2 linked regions of the Coturnix japonica genome follow. The protein of the gene in region 2 interacts with the protein of the main gene of each other region in a biochemical or structural test. Links are inferred from orthologs where the notes say so. Each region holds a gene or a part of one and is shown on either strand. Other genes may lie near its edges.

What was found.
Region 1: of the proteins of IKBKB (region 2) and TNFAIP3, one has a biochemical effect on the other in vitro, tested with the Homo sapiens proteins (2 studies listed by BioGRID and IntAct). The link is inferred for Coturnix japonica from reciprocal best matches to the Homo sapiens genes IKBKB and TNFAIP3.

The regions. Positions count from the first base shown.
Region 1 is NC_029518.1:49,354,431-49,357,697, forward strand, and holds the end of TNFAIP3 (tumor necrosis factor alpha-induced protein 3), read right to left. Parts: intron 1,404-3,267; coding exon 1,138-1,403; 3' UTR 508-1,137; downstream 1-507. UniProt on the Homo sapiens protein: Ubiquitin-editing enzyme that contains both ubiquitin ligase and deubiquitinase activities.
Region 2 is NC_029537.1:4,085,802-4,089,970, reverse strand, and holds the start of IKBKB (inhibitor of nuclear factor kappa-B kinase subunit beta), read right to left. Parts: upstream 2,925-4,169; 5' UTR 2,863-2,924; coding exon 2,758-2,862; intron 2,679-2,757; coding exon 2,584-2,678; intron 1,451-2,583; coding exon 1,333-1,450; intron 108-1,332; coding exon 38-107; intron 1-37.

The sequences.
Region 1 (3,267 bases), on a different chromosome or scaffold from region 2:
ATACATCTCTATGATTCAATGAAGCTAAATGTGATGATCAGTAGCCAACTAGAAGTAGTGTGCAGAACTGTGACACTATCTTGTTGTTTGACAACATTTTGCTCTGTTAGAAAGAGAACTGATGCAGTTCCATCTACTGCAAAGGAAAAGCCTGTTTCTTTGAATGCATTATTAATGCAAGTGGAGCAGACATTGTCCTTGGTAACAGTGCCAAGTGTTTTGCAGTTAACACTTGGTCCAAACAACCCTGCCTTCATATTACTGCACTTACACTGTTTTTCTACACTGGAAACATACAGGAGCTGAGCAGGGAATTATTTGGGAGTTCAAATACATTTCTTGAACACTTGAAATAACTGTGGAAATGGTAACATAGCGAGATTGTTATTTAGGTAACTGTTTAATGCAGGGACGTGTATCTTGTTCCACATGCTCCCTCTGGGCAGGTTTCATCTCGGTTCTTCTATGTCCAAGGAGTACCTGAAAGAAAACACAACTTCAGAAAAATGAAAGGTTGTCTAAAGTTTAGCCTCAATATGTCCCAAAACTGCATTGTTGGTGGGGAACAAGTACATCATCAATACAGACTGAAACATCAAGTATAATTATTTGTGTCAGACCTTTTACTTCAGGATGTCAGTGAGTATTGTCATAATTAATTATTTAAATTTCACAGCTATTGAGGGGAGTTATGTGAGTGTTACTTCTCTAATTTCTCGCAAGACAAATATATATTCATGGATGGTTAACTGCCCCAGAGATGCAAAGCATTTAACTGCCTACCACCCATTGATTTCGGGAGGCATTAGTTGCCATAAGTTGTAAGTATTTTCATGGCTTGCCCAGCATCAAAATCTGATTAGTTAGTGAGTTACAAAGCAAAAGACAATCTGCATATTGCCCTGATTTTATAGCTTTCTTCAAGAGGAAACATCACCTCAGAAATGGCGCGTGGGATGCATCTACTCCAGAATGTCACCTTTGTAAACCAGTGTAAACATCTACATCTGAGCTAGTCATCTGGGTGCCCCTTGTAGTCAGGGGAGGGAGAGACAGCTGAGATTAATTCCACTCTGGGTGTCTGCACCGCAAAAGCGGAATACCAAAGTGCAGCCTACACCAGCTGTGGTCATTCTCTTACCCTTGCCTTTCATATTTGCTATCCTGAGATTCACCGGAAAAAATTACAAAGTGTATCCAGGGGATTTCCATGCAGTCCTTGATGCTATCTTTAGAGTGCTCAAATGGAGCTGCAGAATAAAGAACTTGTTTGTACTTTTTCTTGTGTCTACTTGTCTCTGCTTCACTCAGCTGAAAACAAGAAAGTTTGTAGATTAAACACTTACTGGTTCCACGTGGCTGTGAAGTTACCATCTCCTGTTTTTGCTGTCCTCTCTGATGTCCTGCAATTATTTTCTATTTATTACAGGCTCTGCTGGATTCATTCTATACATTCACATTTCCCTTATTGCAGTATTAAAACTGATTTGTTCAAGTTTTACAAATTAGCATGTACTTTCAAGTATCTTGTTCCTTTTTAGCCAAGCAAAAATAGGTCATGACCAATACGGTTTAGATACACTTTCTCTAGCAGTGATAATATTTAGTTATACCCTGAAACATAACAAAACAAACAAAAAAAGCATGCTAATACTAAGAGGTGAAGAACGAACACTGTTTTGGCAGCTGTACTATAGATGTTATTAGTACAAGCTGAAACTTCATTGTGGGGAATCAAAATAAAAGAGATAAAACCTATCTCTATTTGCAGCTGAATTTGATGAGTTTAGTTCAAAGTTGTTCCCAAATAGGAAGCATTGTCAGCTCAAAGAGGTAAAAACTGAAATACGGAAGGTCAACCCTTCGCAGAGCTCAGCCAAACTTCTGCATTTTTACAGGAGAAGCCACCTACAAGATGAAGTAGGCAGCCCAAGGAGGAGTGTTAGGGGCTGGGTGTTTCCAGCAAGCTGCACTTCACACTCTCACCTTCTCCAAAGTGACAAAGCAGAGGATAGTATCCTCCCCAGAAACTGACTCAGGAGCACCCTGACTGGTGTGAGGGTGGGTGACAACAAGACAAAAGTCACCAGGAGACAGAGGGAGACCACCACAGGCACTCTGAGGAGCTGAAGCTGGAAACCTACAGCATGTGTAGGCGCCTCTGGAAGTGCATGTGTAGCCATGTGGCGGAAAGTATCAGGAAGCTCTGTACAACACAGATCAGCTTGTTCTTGGTCACAGCTGCTGGTGGGTTGCTATTCTGGTAGAGGAAAGCCAGTCTGGATCGAAGCACACGTGACAGTGAGGTAATTTAACATTGTAGTGACCTTATAATGTGAGGACACGTGGAAAAACAAAGCCCCAGGGAAGACTGAATGCACTGTATAGCCCAGAGTGGAGGTCTGACTTAGGCCCCAGTGCAGGAGAGAAAAGCAAAGCTCAAATGCCTGAAGTAACAACAAAGCAAACTGTAAGTCAGTGAATTATATAATGAAATCCCAACAATATGAAGTTCTGCCTTAATAAGTCTTCCCTGCTGGATGCCCAAAAGAAAAACAGAGAAAGAACATTCTGGTGATGAATATGTTTAATTTGACATTCACGTAGCCTCGGGTTTGGCAGAGCCCAAGCTACATGCCTGCTCTGAGTAATGCGTTGTGAACTTCCGTGGTGCACATGGCTGATATGACTCAGATGCACAGGAGCGCTGGCAAACACTGGAGGCTCCAAGCACCTGCCCCAGCACCAGCTTTCAAAGAGACCTGCTCTGCTGAGGGTCAGCATTCATGGCTCTATTACCACCCCCAAAACTTCCTTTTTTTTTTTTTTAAAGAAAAAAAAGAAAAAAAAGTCTCTGGAAACGATGACTTTTTCTTCTTTTCTTTTAGGCAGTAGATATAGGCTGGTCTAGACATGCACGTGATTGTGAAACAGTGTGCAACATCATCTATTTTGCTGGCTGTGTATGAATAATACGTAATTGAAAAATGATGTTGATCTGTACCCTCAAGTAAAAATCAGTTTGATCTTCATTGCAGGCTATAAGTTAGAAGGCAAGTAAGCTATAACTTATCCTGTTGGAATGTCAGTCAGGCTATTTTTCTTGCTTTTTAAGTGATTGTGCACTAAGGACCACAGAACAGGCTGAGATGCCTAATTACCATTACACGGTAACCAGCAGCCAGTGCAAGGTGTGCCATTATGTACAAGAGGACATAACAGCGAGGTCTGCTTGCTTAGAGATGTCTTTGCGGCATGTGGGTTGCA
Region 2 (4,169 bases):
TGTAGCTCGGGCTTGTGAAGATATTGCCATCACTTACCAATATCAGACAGTAAGATGAGAATGGCTTCTTCCCGCAAACCACAGCAATTCTCCAGCTGATTCAGGTACTGCAAGAAAACACCAAAATGACAGCTTCTCCACCCTATATCCCATTGAAGGATCGCAGTCCCACGTATTCTCAAAACACAAGATGTTCAGGCATGAACAATTAAGTTTTTTTTTATTTGTTTGTTTTTTTACAGACAAAACCATGGAGCTGGGACCTCTCCTAGCAATAATTAGGGCTTCAAGCCTCAGTGCATCCATAGGATGAGAAAGGGAGAGTGGAAAGTCAGTGTTACTGCAACTTTGCTGGGTCCTTCATAAGCATTTCCCCTGGAGCCTAGCAATACCAGCTCCACTGTCAGCTGTAAGTTACAGGTCTCATCTATGGGCAGGTTATAGCACTGTCAGCTGTAAGTTACAGGTCTCATCTATGGGCAGGTTATAGCAAAGTCAGCTGTAAGTTACAGGTCTCATCTATGGGCAGGTTATAGCGAAGGTTTAAAAAAGCAGTAAGATAAGAAGCAGCACTAGTAACTGTATTTTTTTCCTATTACAGACAGGGCCTGCACCTTGAGCTACAATGGTCTTGGACGTGCTCCAAATCCTGTTGCATATCCTTCACACATGCTCTCATCTTCTACATGCAAAATTGCTGCATTGTTACTTGCAGACAAATAAAAGTCAAAAGCCTCAGAAAGCACTAGAGATTTTCAGAACTTTATCAAGGACTAACGTGTAAAATCCTCTTGGTATCACATAAAGAATTAGGAAGCATCAGAACATGAAAATATGCTTTAAAGAGAAACTCCTAAAAAGAAGCCCCTAGGTTCCATTCCGCTGGGAAGCTAATCCAGCTTTTAACCTTTCACCACCACCACCTGTCTCAGCTGCAGCTGGGACAGTACTGCGTTCTTCAGAGTGCAGGGCATGACACCGTGTATTGGTTCTATAAGAAAAACAATGCTGATACACACCAACGTTTATAGCTGCTGCTAAGCAGTACTGCACAGCATAAGGGCCATTCTCAGCAAAGGCCCAAGTTACTAGGAGGGAACAGGATTAGGACAGCTGACTCAAACTGATGGTGAACAGGATATGAGGGGCTGAGGGCCGGCTCTTCCAGGCTTATTTGTCATAATAATGATCTATTCTCTGACTCAGTAAATAGTTTTTATCTCAACCCACCGAGTCCCACTTTTGTCTTTCAGTTCTCTCCCCCATCTCACTGGGAAGGAGAGGACAGTGAGTGAATGACTGGCACCTCACAGGAGCACCTGGTGAGCTCACCTTGCGGAGGTCCCCACCCTGGCAGTACTCCATGGCCAGCAATGGCAAATCATTCGGTGCAAGCTTCTGCATTCCCTCAGGAACATCACGGGCAGCCACCACATTGGGATGGTTCAGCCTGAGAAACAGAAATAAGGCAAATGGACACCGCACCAGAACCACACCTGCACAGCCTCACACAGTCATGGTTGTCACATTAAGTCCTATAAGGCCATTAATGCTTTTAGAAACTGAAAGTCAGCTCTAACAGCCTGCAATTTATCCATCCCTCACAGGCCTACAAACTCATTCCAGCTCTTTGCACACCCTATGTGTGCCACAGATGTATCACAGGTGTGACATGGAGCTACAGGACGAGCTCAATGCCCCGCCGGGCCGGTATCACCCCCCAGCAAGTTGTTTAGCAAGAGCTAATCAACCCAACACCCCGTGTTAACCAACCCAGAACCCCACAGCACAGCCCTGTGCAGATGCTAACACAGCAGAGCTGCTACGAGGAAAGCCTTAGACCCGAAGCTCTCAGGAATAACAAAGACCTTCAGCACGTCCTCGCTCCATGCCGGACCAGCCGCCCCTCCTGCCCGTACCTCAGTGCAGCCATTACTATAACGCCTATGCCCCTGTGAGGACAGGCTGAGGGAGTTGGGTTTGTTCAGCCTGGAGAAGAGAAGGTTGCGGGGTGACCTCATTGCAGCCTTTCAATACCTGAAGGGAACTTACTCCCAGGAGGGGAGTAAACTCTTGGAAAGGGCTGACAATAGCAGGACTAGGGGAAATGGTTTTAAGTTAAAAGAGGGAAGATTTAGGTTGGATGTTAGGGGGAAGTTCTTCATAGGAGCGTGGTTAGGCCCTGGAACAGGCTGCCCAGGGAGGTTGTGGATGCTCCGTCCTTGGAGGTGTTCAAGACCAGGTTGGACGGGGCCATGGGCAACCTGATCTATGGAGTCTCTATGGGGTCTATGGTGTCTCTATGGGGATCTATGGGGTCTCCTGGGCAACCTGATCTAGTAAATGTGTATGTTCGGTGGCCCTGCCAGGCAGGGGGGTTTGGAACTACATGATCCTTGAGGTCCCTGCCAACCCGAGTCATTCTGTCATTCTATAACGCGCCCATCAGGGCCGGGCCCGGCAGCGCGGGGGCGTTGGGCTCCACTCGGCCCGTCCCGCAGCGCCAGGCCCCGCTGCTCCCCATCACCTCCTCACGATCTCTATGTCCCTCACCTCTTCACGATCTCTATTTATCTGCCTCACCTCTTCATGATCTGTATCTCCAGGGACCAGCGCTCCCGGTTCCTCGGGCTCAGCTCCTGCCGGCACTGCTTGATGGCCACCTGCTCGCCGGTCTCCTGCGGACACAGCGCGGGGTCGGCTGAGCGCCGGTCGGGCCGGGCCCGGCGGAGCGGGACGGGACGGGCCGCCTCCTACCTTGTTGTGCCAGCGGATGACGTTGCCGAAGCCGCCGGTACCGAGGCGCTCCTTCATCTCCCAGGGGCCGCAGGTCTGCGCCTGCAGAGCCGGCGGGCGGCTCATGGCGGACGGAGCGCGGCGCCTCCGCGGGGCCTGGGCCGTCTCCGCCGGCACTTCCGGCTCCGGAGGCACGTGGTACGAGGCGGCCTTAAAGGGGCCGCGACCGCCTTCCGTCAAGTGAGGGCTACAAAGGCGATAAGGAGCAATAAATTCAGCTTTTCCAATGAAGAAACTCTGAGACGTAGGACTCAGGCTGCAGTAGGGCCGCCTTCCGTGGTTGGTATGTATTGTAAAAATGATGTGGTACTTACCACAGAATCACGGAATTATCAAGGTTGGAAAAGACCTAGAAGATCATCCGGTCCAACCATCACCAATACTTCCCAGTTAAATCATATCCCTCAACACAACATCCAGGCAACATAAAGCAAGAAAACACGTTTCTGAAGCCTTTTACACTTCCTGCATTTTGCACCTGGTGTGGAACTGAAAGAATCATAGAATCATAGAATTACCCAGGTTGGAAAAGACTTTGAAGATCATCAAGTCCAACCGTAGCCTAACCAGTACCCTATAACCACAGTACCCTATAACCATAGTACCCTATAACCATAGTACTCTATAACCATAGTACACTATAACCATAGTACCCTATAACCATAGTACTCTATAACCATAGTACCCTATAACCATAGTACTCTAACTCTAAAAACCCTACACTAAATCGTATCCCTGAGTACCACACCCAAACAGCTCTTAAACACAACCGGGGATGAAGCAGAGGCTTCAGGCAGCACCTGAGCAGCTGAACAGTACGTAGGGATCCTAACTTAGCAGCCTCTAAAAAAACCCTGTCCTGATGCAGGATCAGCTGGGAGGTAAAGCAGCGGACACTGCTGAATGGGGAAGGTGCTGTTACTGCTTGCTTTCCTAAAGCACAGTAAGAAGCACACAGAGCACCCACACCACTCTCTAGAAAGCTACAGCTGACCTTAAGCTCAAAAAGCTGGGAAATAACAACTTCTGAAATCCTCACTGGAAGCCATTACTTCATTAGGAACTTTAGAACTCCAATAGCAAAAAAAAAATCATCTTTAAAAGAGATAGAAATTAGCCCGTTTGTTCAGCAGAGCCCAACCAACCTTTCTCAACACAGTCCCATTTGTTCCTAAAGCAGATGTATGGCACTTATGTTCACACGTGCAGATGCATATGACAACCTTGACACAGGTTTCCATACAGAAAAGACTTAAACATTCAAGATAAAGTTTCCTCTTTGCCAACGTGCAAAATGACCCTCAGCATGTTTGCTGACAGAGGATTCTGTGCACTTACGTCCTGAAAATGAGAGGTCCTAACATTTCTTCATT